Linked DNA regions of Cricetulus griseus. The protein of the gene in region 3 interacts with the protein of the main gene of each other region in a biochemical or structural test. Links are inferred from orthologs where the notes say so. Each region holds a gene or a part of one and is shown on either strand. Other genes may lie near its edges. The genes, in order: Nfkb1, Nfkb2 and Bcl3.

Region 1 (5,554 bases), on a different chromosome or scaffold from region 3:
CCTCTGGCTTCAAGGGCTGTGAAGGAACAGATCCCTGACATTGTGGGGACCTGTTGCCACAGACACAGGAGCCTTGTCCACCTGCCTCCCGTACCGCCTCCTGTTTTAGGTGTATTTCATGGGATCACTTTGAGCTTGACATGTGACTTGGTAGATGCTGCTGCTGAACAGTTTTCCCTTCAGGTCCCACGGTAAATCCCACCTGCCTCTCCCTTTGTAACAATCCCTTCTATACCTATGCCTTTGACAGTAGGACTGCCCACACGTTACACACTGTAGTCTTCCTGTCCACGCATGTCAGCAAGAGGAAGGAAAAAAATCATGTGTTGGTGGTCTCTGTGTGTGTCACTTTATGTCACTGAACCTGTGGCTCAGCCCTTGGCTATATTGGTTGGCCAATGAGTTCTAGGGATCCAACTGATGCTGTTTCTCACAGCTGGGGTTACAAATGTCCCCACCTACAACGGCTCTTACATACATGGGTATTAAAGATCTCAACTCCAACCTTGGGACTATGCTCTATGCTGATTGAACTATTTCCCAACCCCCAAGGGGCACAATTTCTAATAATGTCCCATAAAAAGTCTTTGTCTTCCATCTGTATGAAGTTTGTGAGCTCTAGGCGTCCAGATTCACTGGGATTTAAATGACATAGCTTTAAGGTAGATTATTGGGCTCTTGAGGACACTTAATCCCCAATATCAAATATGGAAAACGTGTTTCCTCACAAACATACCAAGAAGGTTTTTACACCCTCAGGGGTTGTGTGATGGAAAGCTGCTCAGAGTAAGTACCAAATCAATACTACCTGCTGACCTGATCCCTGGCGTTTCAAAGTTTCCACTTGAACTCAGTAGTGAGACCCTGAAATATGTTTCAGATCAAAACTCACTCTGGAGCTACCTTGCCCCAGGCTGTCATCCCAGCCCATGGAGGCACTGTGCCCAAAGGATAAAGAAGCTCAAATGCTCGCAAAAGGTCATCCCTGGGAGTCCTCTCCAGAAAAATAACCTCCCTTGAGCCGAATAAGGATTTATGAGCTGTAAACTAACACTGTGGGTCCCACAGTCGCTAGAATTCCATCCACAGCCGTGATCGCACAGGCCGGACAATGTGCTGCGGATGGAATAACTGACCAGATTGAAGACTTCACCCAAACCCAACATAAATTCATAGTTCTCTGGAGAGACATCAGCCACGATCTCGAAATTCCTGTTCGGCCTGCGAAGAGATCTGAGTGCAACCGAGACCCCCAGAGGAGGGAACATGCAGATGAGCTTGACTTTTGTGCGGGGCACGTGGGGACCGAGCGGGTCTCCGGTGGCCTCCAGCTGTTCGGGCCTGCCCTTGGGCAGCTGGGCGCCTCCCGGGGGCGTCACGGCCGCCGCGGGGCTCGGGGTTCGGGGCGCCGGGTCGGGAGGCGCGGGCTTCCCCCACCCCCGGCGGCGACCCCACCTCCCGCCCCCGCTGCGCGCGCGCGTGGGTCCGTCCGTCTGTCTGCTCTCTCGACGTCAGTGGGAATTTCCAGCCAGGAAGTGAGAGAGTGAGCGAGAGAGGACGAGAGAGAAGTACCGAGGCGGGCGAGCCGGGCAGGAAGAGGAGGTTTCGCCACCGGAGCGGCCCGGCTGCGCGCTGACGGCTTCCCGTGCCCTGCGCGCCCCCGGCCTCCCGCCGCCGCCGCCGCCCTCGCCTGCTCGCGGGCCAGCTCCAGCAGCGCAGGCCGGACGGAGCTCAGGGCCCCGCCGCGCCCGGCCCGCACCGCGCTTCCCGCCGCGCCGCAGCCATGGCGCGCCGCTGAGCCGCCGACCCCGGCCCGCACCCCCGGACCCCGCTCGGGCTCCCGCCGGTCCGCGCCGCCCCGCCCCGCAGCGGGAGCCCGCAGGCGCCGAGAGGCCGCGCCGCGCCGCGCCGCACCTCCAGGGTAAGCCTCGGGGGTTGGGGCGAGGGGCGCAGCCGCCCCCTGTGCGCCGCAGCCCCGCGGCGGGTCCGAGCGGCTCGCAGCTGCGCGGGGCTCCGGGCGGGTCCGCGGGGAGGGCGCGGGGATGAGCGGGGGAGTCCGGGCCGGAGTTGCGGGACGCGCGGCCCCCGGCTGCGGGGACAGGGCACATCCGCACTGGGCGGCCCGAGGCCTCCCCGGCCGGCCGGGCCCTCCGCGTCTCCGCGGGCGGGAACGGGAACCGGAGGGGAACTCTGGCAAAGTTTTAGAAATGTCTACCCAAGCCCCTGCCGCGGGGTGGGGGATGGCTGCCGGGCTGAGGTCCGCCGCGGAGGAGAGCTAGGAAGGTGCTTGGTGCAGTGCACAGCCAGATTTCACCAAAGGCAGGCAGCCGGGCGGGCGGTGAAATGAAAGCAGAAGTGCCTGTCAGTCCTCCAGGCTGGCAGCCCCCTTCCCAGCTCCTCGGAATCCAGCAGGAGAGCCTGAGGCCCACTTTCTGATCTGTGATAGACACCCCCCCAACACACACACACACACACACACACACACACACACACACACGGCCCACTTTCTGATCTGTGATAGACACCCCCCAACACACACACACACACACACACACACACACACACACACACACACACAACACACAGAGTGCATTCAGCTGCCAGATCTCAACATTGATCACCCCCCCACACACACACACACACACACACACACACACACACACACACACACACACACACACAGAGTGCATTCAGCTGCCAGATCTCAACATTGATTTTCAAAATATGAGGAGGGCCTCACACCGATTCTCCAGGCCTTGGCATTAGAGAGAGAAATTACCTACTAATTTAAGCGCCTCTTAGACACTTGATTGCAGGAAACTCTAGGATAATGGCACCATGTATCGTGCATGACCTCTAAAACAAAACAAAACAACCACAAAACACCATACAAACGACGCCTTTCCTACATATAAGCTTTCTTAGGTCTTCTGAGATAGAGGCCGATCTTGGTTCTGTTTACTGGTCTCTTCTGAAACTTAAATGGAACTAATGATAAAAAAAAAGATTTCATCACCTAGATTTAACCCACTTTTGTGGACATTTTAAAGATTGACATTGCAGCTAAGTTACCATATTTAACTAAAAAAGTTTTTGTCGTAGGGCTCATAACTGAGAAATGCTTTCGGTGTTTATTAACATTTTGATAGCCATGACATCAAATAACGAGGTATAGACTGATGGTCGTTGGTAAATATGAAAGCTGGAGATGAAGATAGACTTCGGTAGCTTTCTAGTGAAATCCTCAGCTGAGTATTCTTGGGTGGCATAAAATGCGTTAATATTTGTAAGACCTTAAAAAGGGAAACTTGATTAAAGTAAGCCCCTAACTGAAATGTGTTTTTCCCTGATTTTCATATTGTGCTTTCTAGAGATGGAGCCACTTACTGTCTGATGAACTAAAAATTATGTAAATTATTTACAACAAAGTACTTTGCTTAGCATATGAACTTGAGAAGACAGGAATGAAAAGATTTGCTTCCTATTGGATTTAACATTTGTCATCCAATTGGATGACTAGCAGAACACACGTAATGATGGCAATGTGAAATCTGTAGCTCTTGCCCATGTGGATACATCTGGGAGTCTCTTGCTAGCTTAGAGAAAAATGTCTTCTTGGCTTAACATACTCAACAAACTTGAGCACAAAAGAAGGCTTCTGGGTAGACTTAATGCTGGCACTAAAATACTATACTTGCTGTGAAATGCTAACCACTTCAAAACCAAAAGACTTTTAAAGAAAGTTGTCTAATCTTGTTAAAGGCTGGTGGCCACCTGACAATCTGTTATCTTTGTTCTGAAATTCAGTTGCATCTTGTGTTCTACGTATGGCAATTACTTGAGCTGAGTAGGTAGTAAATGTCCCCGTGTTTCAAAGCCAGTTAGTAAATACTGGAGTATACATACAAAAATAGTCTTTCCCCTTTGTAAGCACTGCTTTGATCTTTGTGTTTCCTTTTTTTGCTTCTGCCTCTAGAACTCAGCCAGGCTGACTGAGTCACAGTGGGTTAAAGCCCAACTAGTTGGAAATGGGCAGCATTTTAGATTTAGTGGCCATGTCCCTTGCCGTGGTCCCTTCAGACGAATCGAAGCTAAGTGGAGAAGCTAGTATTTCTGCAGGCTGTTTTCTCTGCTGCTTTCAGACTTCCAGATAACTGATGAAGCAAGCCACTGCCTTGACGTTCAGGGATTGCTCATTGTGGTAGATAGAGCTAGATAAAACTTGGCAGCCACATGGATTGTGGATTATCATTCAATCAGCAAGCCCAGGGTTTTACCTAATTTATTTATAAGGTATTCCCCTGCTCAGAAGAGGTGAGATTTCTGACTTCTAGGGGGCAGTAACCACTTCACAGCCGTCAATTAATTTGAGCTTGAGAAAAGAAAGAAAAGTAGCTGCCATTTTTAAATAATAAGCTAAATAATTATTCCTAAATTGCCAGGTAGATTCATTGTTTAGCCAGACTAGGATAAACCTAGGGCCTTATGAGTGGTCTACTATGGAACTATACCTCCATACCTCCAAATGCCTCTAGCCCTGCTGGCAGGATTTTTGGATAATGTGCTCAAGATACCATTTATTCCCCCACTCCTAGAATTTACCAATAGGTGTCCTGTCCTGGGCCCAGAGATACTATGTTAGCAAGTGTACCAGGAATACAGATTGGATGTATGTGAGTCAGTATCTGCAGAAATTCTCATGGGCTTGTCTTCTGGTAGGAAGCTGTCTTGTTTGGATGGCTTTCCAGCGTTCTGCTTGCAACATGAATCAATTCTATAAGGTAGTGCGACTGTTGTGTTCGAGGGCCAGGAGAAGGGCGAGTAGTAGAATTATACTAGAAGACCAGCATGCCTTAGTCCTGCATTTCTGTCCCATTAAGGCTGGTTGGCACCCGGAGCACCTGGTTCTGCTTCTGGGAATTGTGGTTTGTGCTTTTGCACCTCTTTTCAGTACTGGAGCTGGTTGTTGTTTTAGAGGTGAGCAGGTGAGAAGAGTAAGAGCAGATGGGTGTATCCCAGGGAATGCATTCTGTCGAAGCTTCAGGGTTTGAGGCTTTCCACTAAGTGCAGACGCTCAGCCTCAGGGAGGAATGTTTGGAAGATGGGCATAGTCTTGCAAGAGTAGATAGAGTCTGGGAGAGTTTGAAAACCACACAGTGTAGTTTGGTAGAGTTAATAGTTCTTATCTTTGTGGTGTTGCCTTAATGGATATGCATTGTCTTGTTGGGAAGAAGGGAAGAGAGGGAGAAGACGGGAAGCAAGGGAGGAAAGGGGGGAAGGAGAGAGGGAAGGCATTCTTTTCCTGCTGATGAATTGATTTACCCTTCTTGCTTCTGTACTGTCTTAGAGGATACTAGTTAATATTTTCAGATGATATTGGAAGACTAACAAATAGTTTAAAAATGAGATAAGACTGGTTTACTTCAACACCAAGAGTTTAAACTAATATAAGATAGGATTTGGTAACAACTGTGAAGTCCAAGAGAAGACAATATATAGATAAAACTTTCATTAAAGTATCAATTCTAAGTACTATATATTATAATTTTTAATG
Region 2 (5,753 bases), on a different chromosome or scaffold from region 3:
ATAGAACCGAACCTCAATGTCATCTACCGAGAAAAGTGAAGCTTAGCCATAGGGAGAATCTGCAGGTCCAGTGCATTCATTCTGAAGTTGCCCCGTCCCTCGCCCCGCCCCGCCCCCCCAACAACCAGTGTTTTTAATTCTCAGGCCTCCTGCCTCACCTTTCTGCACCTTATCACAAAGCAAATAAACTTCATCACCACCACGCACAGAACCTGCTGTTTTGTCCATTCGGGAAATCTTCAGGTTTGAGGCCCCTGGAGACTCTAGGATGGGAGATAGGTTAGGGCCACGTTGGCTTTGTGGTCATATCTCACACTTGAGGAAAAGACAAGCAACACTCAGACTAGCTAATAAGCCCACTCATCTCACACGCGGCAGGGCCGGCTCAAACCCCACGGACTGAAGGCATCCCAAACGCTCCTCTGGGTGCTCACACTTGGTACCCCAGGATACTCACTGCTGTCATGGATGGGCTGGGAGATAACTGGCTTCAGAGGCAAGGAGAAGGAGCCATCGCTAGCTCGGAGGAAAGCGGAGAAGCGCAGCCGAACGATGCTCAGGTCCATTACTTTCTTCAGCTCCTTGGCCTCCTGCTCCAGCTCCCTCCGCTCAGCCTCTGGGTGGACAGACAGGCTGGGGTGAACTCTGGGCCACACTACCCTGGCCCTCAAAGCATCTGACAACCCTTAGTGGCCATACCTGTAAGGCCCTGCGGACTGGAACGAAGCCGCTGCCTTTGAAGTTTCTGAATCATAATCTCCATCATGTTCTTCTTGGTTACGTGCAGGACACCCAGATTATTAAACCTGGGGAGGAGGAGGAGCAGGACTCAGAGGGCTTTGTCCATGGAGCTCTTTCCTCCTGAGACAGCCTTCTTACCACCAGGCTCAGCCTGGCTTTGTCCTCTAAGGAAACTGTGCTTTATTCTTGAGTCCCGGGGTTCTGGGCCAAAGTAAAAATCTCTCCCCATTGTGTGCTAGTCTCACGGGGGGGGGGGGGGGGGGCTGGGACCCAAGACTGGCAGGCAATGAACATCCCTCTGGGGGCCAGGGCCAGGGGGCACCTACTGAGCAGTCATGTCCTTGGGTCCTACAGACACAGCGCAGACCCCCAGCTCTGAGCACTGCTTGCCCACCAGACTGTGGGCATGCGCACGAGGTGGGTCACTGTGTGTTACCAGGTCCACCTCAATCTTGGCTGGTCCCTCATAGTTACAGATCTGAGAATGGCAAAGGACGGTCAGTAGTGGCACACTGGACACTATCCCCCAGCCAGCCCTCCAGCAGCATCCAAGCTCACCTTGACAGTAGGGTAGGTCTTCCGGCCCTTCTCACTGGAGGCACCTGGTAGGCCTCCATGGGAGGGGCCCTCACAGCCGTATCGAAATCTGAAGCCCCGCTGAGGGTTCCATGACAGAGACATTGTGGTCAGGAGAGACAGTCCCCCCACCCCCGCTGACCATAATGACCAACAGTGTGTCTCCTGAACTCCTCCCCACAACAGCAACAAACCATCCAATCAAAGTGGCTTCCCCTGTCAGTTACAGTTCCCCCACTTGTCCCCAGAGCTGAAGCTATGGGACACCTCTGTGGTCACTCACCTGCTTGGGCTGCTCCACAATCACCAGATAGGGGCCATCAGCTGCAAACAGAGAGGCCTTGCTCAGCCAGGATCTCCAAGCCCATCCCTCAGGCAGAGGGTCCACGCTCACACTCCTCCAGGCTCCGGGACACCCGAGGCTAAGGACTCACTGACCTGTCTCTGGGGCTGGATCCTTGGGCTCCACAATGGAGGGGCTGAATTCAAAGTCATCATAGTCGGGGATGCCATCCAGACCCTGGGTTTCAGACAGAGAAGGTGGCAGCTGAGTCTGAGCCCGCCTCCTCCCGGTGCCAAAGCCTCAGCAGTCACTGGACTCCTCCTCAAGCCAGGAAGAGGCTCCTTTCTGGGCAAAGTTTGCAGATAGGACAGACGGGCAGACTGAGGCAATCTGAAGACAAGCAGAAGCAGGGGAGGGGCCTTCGGTAGACACAGGGGCACAAGCCGGCTTCAGGGCAGGCAGTGTGACTCACTGGGTCGTAGCATCTGTCCATGTCTCTGGGCTAGGCCCGACCGTGTCTGGCGGCTTCGGGCCCTTGTTCGGCTTCCCAGAGTTTCGGACGCCCGCCTAAAACGAAGAGAGACGCGGGATGGGGGGAGGGGAGAGGTCGGGGTGGGGTGGGCAGGAGAGGGGGCCCAGGCCTGGGGGAGGGTCTGATCGCCTCCGGCCGCCCGTCCGGGCGTGGCGGGTAAGATCCGGTGGAGGTCGAGATCCGGAGCGGGGCCGGAGCGGGGAAGGGGCAGAAAGTTAGCGCAGCTTAGGAAAGTCCCGAAAATACCAGGGGGAGGCGGAGCCGGAGCCGGAGGGGGCGGGCCTGGAAATGACGCCGGGGCCTGGCCCCGCCCCCACGGCGGGAGGGGCGGGCGGGAGGAGGCCGGGGCGGGGCGGTCCCTGGCTCCCCCGCGGCGGCTGCAGCCCCCGGGGCTCAGTCGGGGCCTAGCCCGCCTCGCCCCCGCTCGGCGGCCCGGAGCAACCCCGGGGTTTTCGGCCGGCGCGGAGGACACGGCTGATTCACCCGGGGGCTTTTGCGGGGACATTCCTGCCGTCGGAGGCCCGTAGGCGGGGGCTCTTCCGTGGGGCCCGGGTTCTGCCCGGACGGAGAGCGCACCGAGCCGCAGGGCGGGAGAGGAGTTTCCCTCCGCGGCGGCTGCTGCCCGACCCCGCCTCCCGGACCCTCGCGCTGCACCCGGCCCGGGCGGCGGCCGCGGAGACCCCGGACCGCACCGCCGTGGCAGTGCGTGCGCACGCCCGGGAGAGCGTGTCAGCCCCGAGTGTGTGCGTGGCGAGCGAGTGGGGCAGCGCGCACGTGCCGCGGAGCGCTCGTCCGCGCAGGTGAGTCCCGGAGCGCTCCGAGGCGGACGTCGGTGCACGCCCGGGTGGCGGCGCCGGGGCGCGGGGAGCGCACGGCTGGCACCGGCCGGCTGTGCGAGCGCAGGCGGAGAGCCGCTGTGTGCCGGCGTCCCGCTCCTGGGCGGGCGGGCGCTCCCGAGGTGGTGTCCGGCCCCTGCGGCCACCTGAATCCCTCCTCCCTCCGTCCCGCTCCTGGCCCCGGCCACTCACCGCGGCGGCGGCGGCGGCGGCCCCGGGTCCGGCTGCTTCTTCTCCGCGAGCCCTGCCCTGCCCTGCGCGGCCGCGGCTCGGCTCCAGCCCGGGCTCCCGCCGGGAAAGCCCCTTTCGGCCCCCCGAGGGGGGAATTCCCGTGACGTCCCCGTGCGTCACCCCCATGCCCGGTCCTTATTGGCTGGAAGTTTAACTCCCGGACTCTCGCAGCCAACCCCGAGCGACGCAGGCGCGCCCCTTACGGGGAAGGCTCGCCCGGGCCGGTGACCGGTGACCGGGTGTCAGTCCCCCCCGGGCCGCTCTGCTGCGGACGGCCGAGGCGGGACGGCCGAGGCGGCGTCTCGGGGCCCGGGGCTCGGGTCTCCGCGCCGTCCCGGGCTTGGCCCGCATGGCTAGGGAGCGCACGGGGCCCTCACTCTGGCCGCGCCCAGCACTTGGCTGCCTCTGAAACCGGGGAAACCCGTGGCAAGCGGGCCAGTCCCGACGCTCGGGTCCCTCCGGGACAGGGACCTCGGTGCTGGGAAGTTAGGGGAAGAGGAAGGAGGCTCATCTTGCGGTCGGCTCCACATCGCCATCTAGTGGCCTTTCTGGATCTGCGAGGAAACGCTGGGGTCACCCACTGTCTCGGTTTGAAGGCTTCTGGAGACAGAGACTCGTGGTTTTAAATTTTATTCTCTAAGTGGCGGGTTCACGGGGGTCCAGGCTTTCGGGATGACCTGCTGGAGGAGCAGTGCGCTGGGAGAAAAAGAAACGGAGGCGTTTGACTGGGAGTCTCAGGCCTTGTTCATCCACCACAGGTGTCTGGACCAGTAGAACTGATGTGCTGATACACGCAGACCTGCAGTCCCGGCTTTCTTGAGACCGAGACAGGAGGATCGCCACCCTGTCTCAGCACACGTGCACGCAAAGGTGTCCAAAGTATGATATTCAAACCTCCTCCAGTGTAGAAAATGGCTATTGCTCGGTGGTGTGCTTTGCATGTATGAGGTCCATCATCAAAGCTGGTAGGAGGCTGGGGAGGCAGCTCAGCGGGTAAGCGCTCACTGCTGCTTTTCCAGGGGGACGAAGTTCTGTTCCCAGTTTCCACTTCGGACAGCTCACAAGTGTGTGAAACTGTAACAGCAGCAGATCCCACTGTCTCTCCCCCGGCCTCTGAGAGTGCTGAGTTCACGCGCACATTCCTCAGTTCCCACCCACTCCCAAAACCCTCCAGAATTACAAACACAAAAAAATCTATTTTGGGGCTCAGCGTTTAAGAGCAATGGCTGGTCTTTCAGAGGTCCTGAGTACGAGTCCCAGCAACAACATGGTGGCTCACAACCGTCTCTAGAGGGATCTGATGCCATCTTCCGGCATAAAGGTGTACATGCAGATAGAGCACTCATATACATAAAATAAATTTATCTTTAAAAAACTATTTTAAAAGCCACCCTGAGCTGGGCAGTGGTGTTGTACACATTTAATCTCAGCACTTGGGAGGCAGAGGCAGGCGGATCTCTGTGAGTTCGAGGCCAGCCTGGTCTACAAAGCAAGTTTCAGGACAGCCAGGACTGTTACAGAGAAACCCTGTCACAGAAAGAAAAAAAAAAAAATACAAGGAAAAAGTCACCCTGAAAATGAATGTCCTGTCCTCTCACACTCAGTGACCTCTCCTTGAGCACATCCAGTGACAAGGTCAACATGAGTGAGGATTTATAGCGTGGACTCCACATCCGCACCTCTGGTTGTCAACTTTCCCTGTAGGAGCTGTGTGCACAGTGCATCTCAACGCTTGGAGCACAAATCTTCCAGGTTTCTTCCACGACTTGCCCCGATCTCTAGGACATGGTCATAGACTTGTACCAGGAAGGGAGCTGTATTAATTCTTATCTGCCCCACCCTTAGAGTAAATGCTTGAAACAGGAAGCATTTCAGTCTTTTGTTTTTTGGTTGTTTTTTTTTTTTTTTAATTCTTAGGGTATTTGCATAGAATACAGGTTGGGCTTCACTAATCCGAAGAGATGAAACTATCTGTTTCAGACTACGGAAGCCAATTGTATCCACTTACACTGTTGATGGAAACTAAGGCATATCTAGGAAGGAGAGAGAATAGATTGCTTCCCCACCACCCACCCCAAGACAGGGTTTCTCTCTGTAGCGTTGACTGTCCTGGGACTCACCCTGAAGACTAGGCTGGTCTTAAACTCAGAAATCCTGCCTGCCTCTGCCTCTCGAGTGCTGGGATTAAAGGCGTGCTCCACCAATGCCTGATTGGAGTTCTACTTACTTTTAATGCAGGGGCATCTACAAGAACATTGAGTATTCTTAGCCATCAAGCAGTCTCTCGAACTGTTTTCTCTCTGCCCATTGGGTCCCTGCAGCTGCTATGAAATATCCACTCCTAGGCTTAATATCAGTTACAATTGTTTGGCTGATGGCTCAGGCTTCTTATTGCCTAGCTCTCTCTTAATTATTAACCCATTTCTATTAAACTGTGTATCACCAGATGGCCTTGGCTTACCGAGGTGATGCCCTGGGATCTTGTTTCCCTGGTGACTACATGGTCTCTCATCACTCTGTCTTCCTTCTCCTTGCCTCTTTGTTCAAAATTTCC
Region 3 (5,773 bases):
CCCAGAGCTGGGTGTGGTGGTGCACACCTTTGATCCCAGCACTCAGGAGGCGGATGAAGGCGTATCTATGTAGGTTGGAGGCAAGCCTGGGCTACAGTGTGAGTTCCAGGCCAGTTAGGACCACATGGTGAAACCTTGACTCAAAAATGGGGTGGGGGCCCACACCTTTAATCCCAGCACTCGGGGAGGCAGAGGCAGGCGGATCCCTGTGAGTTCAAAGCCAGCCTGGTCTACAAAGTGGGCTCCAGAGAATACAGAGAAACCCTGTTTTGAACCCCTCCCCAAAAAAAGTGTTGGGTGGGGACTGGAGAGATGTCTCAGTGATTAAAAGCTATGGCTGCTCTTCCAGAAGACCTAATAGATCTTCACAACCATCTGTAACTCATGCCCTCCTCTTGCCTCCTCAGGCACCAGGCACGCACATGGTGCACAGACATTCACACAGACCAAACACCCATGTATGTAAATAAAACCAAAAAAAAAAATGAAAACAGAGAAAGATGCATAGTTCTCGTTTTTTGGATTATGATACAATTGAGAGGTTGGGGTTGTGGCTTCCTGTTAGAGCAAGCAAGGAGCGTACACAGGTTCAGTCTCCCACCCCCACAACAGCCCTAGCCAATGGGCGCTCTCAAGTGCCCATTTTCCATAGGAGGAAACTGAGGCTCAGTTAGGGGGAGAGCTCTGTGCAGTGTCAGTGAGCCATGGAGGCAGATCCTGACGTGGGACCCCATGGCGCAGAGGGCTGGGCTCCTCCAGGCTCTATCACTTACGTGTCTCCATCCTCGTCTGCGTGGGTGGCCAGGGCAATGTCAGCTGAAAGGGGGTGTTCCACGGGGCACATCCTGGAGTAGAGGTGTGTAGGCAGGTTCAGCAGCGGAAAGGGGGGTCCCACCGTTGGGGTAGGGTAAATGGGCACCAGAGGTCCTGGATACAGCAGAAACAACAGTATGACCCGGGTGAAGCCAACCTCACAGACCCTTGGCCAGGGGTCTCTCCCTCCAGGCCTTGGCATCCTCCCAAATCCCCTGCTCCCATTCTCATGTAGCCCGGGTTGACCTTGAATTTAATATGTAGCTGGGGATAACCTCCAATCCCGATCCCCCTGCCCTCATCTCCTGGGAGATGGAATGAATTATAGACCTGCATCACTTCACTTACTGTTACATTTTTATGTATATAAAGATTTACCCATTTTAAATTTTTCTGTGTGTGTGTGTGTGTGTGTGTGTGTGTGTGTGTGTGTGTGTGTGTGCACGACCGAGGGTGTTTATGTGCACCACATTTGTGCATGTGCCCATGGAGACCAGCAGAGGGCGCCAGATTCCCTGAAACCAGCGGTACAGGGAGTTTAAGTGGGTGCCGAGATCTGAAGACAAGTCCACTCCAAGAACACTAAGCCGTCTCTCCTGCCCCAAGGTCCCTTTTCTTTCAAAGATCTATTTATAGTCATTACTTTTACAAGTTGTATCAGCTTTTTAAAAGTGTATGAATGTTTTGCCTGCGTGTATGTATGCACACCACACGCCTGCCCGAAGCCCCCAGAGGCCGGAAGAGGGCGTTGCACTCCCAGAACTGGAGTTACAGACAGCTTTGTGAGCTGTCAGACCTAGGTGTTGGGAATAAGCTCGGGTCCTCTGCAAGAGCAGCAAGTGCTCTTAACCCCTGAGCCATCTCCCCCACCCCTCCTTTGAAACACTGTGTCACTGTGCTTTAGCCCAGGCTGGCCTCAAATTCAAGGAGATCCTCTTGCTGCAGCTTCCCAGGTGCTGGGATTACAGGTGTGCATCATCACGTTTGGCTATCCCAGATTCTGTTAGCTCCTCAAACTTGGTCCTCAAGGCCCGAGACAATGTTCTCATTCCTGGCACCCTCCCCCCCAATTCCTGCACCCTTTATCCCTCACCCCTAACCCCTATCCCTCATTCCGCGTCTCTCCTATGACGCTGTTTCTTCTCTCACTCACGCCTGACCTCCATCCATCTACAGAAGAGGCCCTTAAGGGCAGGGAGAGCCCTGTTACCACCCAGCAGGGGTACCCCAGTTACAAAGTTACACTGTGAGTCATTTCGTAGCTGAAGGGACCGGGTCTTGGGTGGGAAGTAAACACACAGCGGAGCCAGGGAGCCAGGACAGTTTAGATGGAACTTTGGGAAGGACTATTGCAAAGACGGGAAAACAGAGGCCAGGGTTCCCATCAGGCCAAGGAAGGCCTCCTGTTACACAGCTTGATGCCGGCCTGATGAAGCATGGATAGCTAGGCTAGCAGCTGAAGAAACTGAAGGCCCAAAGAAACAGGTGTCAGCAGCTCTGGGGTATCGAGCATATAGTAAGGCGGTTGTGCAAGGGGACGCCCCTTCCTTGATATAAAGGTTGGGGAGAAGGGTTCCTGGCTTCCTGCCGTCTGAGTAGCTTTGGGGTTCCCTTTCTGCAGTCCCACCTTTCCAGGCCCCCGAATCCCTTTCCTGGGTTAAGTCCTTCAGTTTCTGAATTCTTTAGTTGTGTTCCCCTTTCCAGAACCCTCTGTCCCCAAGCCTGCCCCTAGGGCCACCTGACCTAGGGACACTTGGGAGCACACACAACTGACTGCAGAATGCTGGCTTTGTTTGCTGACTCCTCCAAACTTGCAATATTGGGGTCCTTGGGACTCTACGTGTTTAGACCTGTGCTCCAAACACGGGAGTGCTCAGAACGCTAATGCCTTTCTCTCAATCCCTTTGCACCCTGAAATCCTGGTTCTCAAGATTAACCTTCGAGCCCTGTCTGTTTCTACGCCCCCTGCATATCTGCATACCAGAACCCCAGTTTCCAAGGCCCGGGTGATAATTCTGCATAGTCCTTACATCTTGTCCTTCCCCGTCTGAAATTCTGCATCTCTGGGATGCCATGGGACCCCATATCTGCGCCACTGGACACTGTCCCCTGACATCCCCCGCCCCCCGGCCATTTGACTCTTGGGCACCCCTCTGACCTCCTGTCTCTTGGTACCCACATGGCTGAACTCCAGGCAGGGCTTTGCAACCTGTTTCCTAACTATCTCTGGGACACTCGTCTCCATCCCAGAGTCCCAGCTACCAGGAGCCTCATCTATTTGTGTCTTATGCTCTACTGACCTCAGGTGGCCCCCACCCGGCCCTGGCCCTCGCTTGGGAGGCGCTACTCACCCTGGTAGTAAATCGCCTCCGGCCTGGCCACGCCGTGGGGGGGCCCAGGGACAGCCGGGGCGTCGCAGCTGCTGCGCAGGGGGTCCAGGGGTCTGGCGGGGGCGCGCGGGGCTGCGGCCTCCGGGGACGCGGAGCGCAGCGGACGTTTGCGGAGCGGCAGTGCGGCGCCCGGGGCGCCCTTGGGCCGGGTGCGCAGGTCCACGGGCCCCTCGTCCATGGCCCCCGCGGGGCATCGGGGCATCGGGCCGCCCGGAGACGCCGGGGCGAGCGGCAAGCTCGGCACGGGAAGGCGGTCTCGCCAGGCTGCGGGACTTCCCCTGCTGCCGACTGAACTGAAGGGACTTTTGTCAGCCGGGGCGGTGCCCGCCTCCCGCCTCCCCGCCCCCGGGCCCCCAGGGCCACCCGTCCGCCCCAGGGGTTTCCTGGACCCGCGTCTCGGAGGCGGAGCCGGCGCTCCTGGTCCCCACCCGCTGCTCTGCTCAGCGTGCCTCTCTGGCCCGGAGCTTGGTCTGGTCCCAAAGATTCTCTCTCTCTCTCTCTCTCTCTCTCTCTCTCTCTCTCTCTCTCTCTCTCTGGCTCTCTGTCCTTTCCCCCCCTCTCTCTCTCCCTACCTCCTCTCTCTCTCTCCCTCTCATTTTCTTAGACTGAAGCTCATGTAGCCCAGGCTAGCCTCGAGGTGGCTATGCAGCAGAGGGTGGTCTTGACCTTCTGATCCTCCTGTTTCCACCTCGAGTGCTGGGAAGACACCTGCTCCACTGGGGCCTTGGTTTTTCTTTGCCCAGGGATCATGTAGCCCAGGCTAGCCTTGAATTTGCTATGGAGCAGAGGATGACCTTGAACTCCTGTCTTCCCTCCCAAAAGCTGAGGCTGTGGACTCGGGCCACCATTAACAGGCACATTTTTCTATTGGTCGAGCAGGTGCCTCCTGCGTGCTAGGGATCCAAATGTCTCAGCCGACTCTGTCTCTGAATTTCATGGCTGCGGCTGCCTATCTATCGGAGTCAACATTTGTGAGCAACCTCCTCTCTTTAACCCTACTGTTACCAGCCCCATCTTTCCTTTAGTGTTTCTGAGTTTTTCACCCAGCACCTCCTGTCGCAACCCTGCGATTCTTGGAGGCCACAGGGTTGCTAGGACACAGGTTTGAATCCTGATTCCTACTTTCTCTTGGGTGACCTCGGCCATGCACACACACACACACACACACACACACACACAGTTGTTTCTTTTGTTTCTTTTCTTCTTCTTCTTCTTCTTCTTCTTCTTCTTCTTCTTCTTCTTCTTCTTCTTTTTTCTTTTTTCTTTTTTCTTTTTTGCAATACTGGAGCCCAGGCACTTGTGCTCGGCAAGCAATCGTCCCAGCACTGAGCATTTATGGCCCAACCTTCTGTTTGCTTTCCAAGTTTTCAAGCTGCCCAAGCTGACCTTGCGTTTGCTCAGTAGCCCAGGACAGCTTTGAACTTGGAATCTTCCTGCCTGCCTCTTGAGGAGGTGGGGATGGCAGGCCTGCACCATCAGGCTGAGAATGAAAAGCCCAGCCCAGGGCAGGGACTGGTTTTTGGCTGGTGCCCAGGAACTAGCCACTCTGTGCCTTCCTTGTGCCTCCCGGCTTGCAGGGCGGAGGGTGGACGGGTGTGTGTGCACGAGAGCTTCGAATGTGTCTCCTGCTGGGTCCCTGCACCCAGCCAGAGGCCTCAGAGGAGAAGATTGAATCCCAAAGGGAAGAAACCTGCAGACAGATCCCGAGAGACAGGGTGACCAGAGTGAAGAGGTTGGGACAGCAGGCCACAGTTAGGGCTCAAGGCCAAGCACTGTGGGCCTTGGGGGGTGCAGGCTGACTTCCTCAGCTCCCCCCCACTTCTCTTTCCACCCCGAGGAGGGGCTGGCGGGTGGGGAACAGGCCCGGCTGGTTGGGGCCCTGACTCAAAGGCACAGGAGCTGGGGAGGCCGGCCAGAGGCTCAGCCTGCTCGGGGCCCGCCCCGGGGCGGGGCCGCAGCTCGGGGCTTTCCCGGACATCCCTGGAGGTGGAGCGGCCACTGGGGTTGAATCCAGGTCACTGAGTCACAGGGAGGCGGATGGGGGAAGGCGGTTGGAGACTTAGGGAGGCAGGGGAATGGGCACTGCGCTGCAAACACGCCCAGAAGATTCTCGGGGTCCCCTGGTTCTTTCTCCGGATGTCCATGCGTCTCTACAAACCCGTTCCCGGGTCCCTTGTCTCCTGTCCCGTTTCCTGACTGTTTTTCCAGATTGGGTCTCTGTAGCCCAGGCTGGCCACGGACTAGGGGCAGTCCTCCTACCTGAGCCTCCAGAGTGCTGAGATTACAGGTGTGAGCCTACATCTCCATTTTTCTGTCCCTCCCCCCACTTTTTTTTTTTTTTTTTTGTCTCTGAGTCCTCCGTTGTCCTGGGACCATGAACGTGGGCGTGGAGCCTATGAAGGGACTTTGGCCGGCTGGGGCCCCACCCAAGTGGATGGTTAACCTGGTCTGTGGGATTCGAGGTGCCAGGTGACCTACCTCTTCCTACCGTTTTTGTTTCTTTCTGGCTTGCCCTTCTCCTCCCAACCCACAGTGTGCCATTAAGGTGAATCAGGAGAGAAGACCAGACC

Evidence for each region.
Region 1: the proteins of Bcl3 (region 3) and Nfkb1 form a complex in vitro, tested with the Homo sapiens proteins (2 studies listed by BioGRID). The link is inferred for Cricetulus griseus from reciprocal best matches to the Homo sapiens genes BCL3 and NFKB1.
Region 2: the proteins of Bcl3 (region 3) and Nfkb2 form a complex in vitro, tested with the Homo sapiens proteins (2 studies listed by BioGRID). The link is inferred for Cricetulus griseus from reciprocal best matches to the Homo sapiens genes BCL3 and NFKB2.

What each region holds. Positions count from the first base shown.
Region 1 is NW_023276806.1:23,789,847-23,795,400, forward strand, and holds the start of Nfkb1 (nuclear factor NF-kappa-B p105 subunit), read left to right. Parts: upstream 1-1,859; 5' UTR 1,860-1,921; intron 1,922-5,554.
Region 2 is NC_048596.1:15,287,020-15,292,772, forward strand, and holds the start of Nfkb2 (nuclear factor NF-kappa-B p100 subunit), read right to left. Parts: upstream 3,312-5,753; 5' UTR 3,161-3,311; intron 2,168-3,160; 5' UTR 2,094-2,167; coding exon 2,073-2,093; intron 1,838-2,072; coding exon 1,756-1,837; intron 1,642-1,755; coding exon 1,601-1,641; intron 1,399-1,600; coding exon 1,300-1,398; intron 1,220-1,299; coding exon 1,068-1,219; intron 807-1,067; coding exon 700-806; intron 617-699; coding exon 458-616; intron 264-457; coding exon 159-263; intron 24-158; coding exon 1-23. UniProt on the Homo sapiens protein: NF-kappa-B is a pleiotropic transcription factor present in almost all cell types and is the endpoint of a series of signal transduction events that are initiated by a vast array of stimuli related to many biological processes such as inflammation, immunity, differentiation, cell growth, tumorigenesis and apoptosis.
Region 3 is NC_048602.1:27,514,142-27,519,914, reverse strand, and holds the start of Bcl3 (B-cell lymphoma 3 protein), read right to left. Parts: upstream 3,715-5,773; 5' UTR 3,406-3,714; coding exon 3,165-3,405; intron 928-3,164; coding exon 774-927; intron 1-773. UniProt on the Homo sapiens protein: Contributes to the regulation of transcriptional activation of NF-kappa-B target genes. In the cytoplasm, inhibits the nuclear translocation of the NF-kappa-B p50 subunit.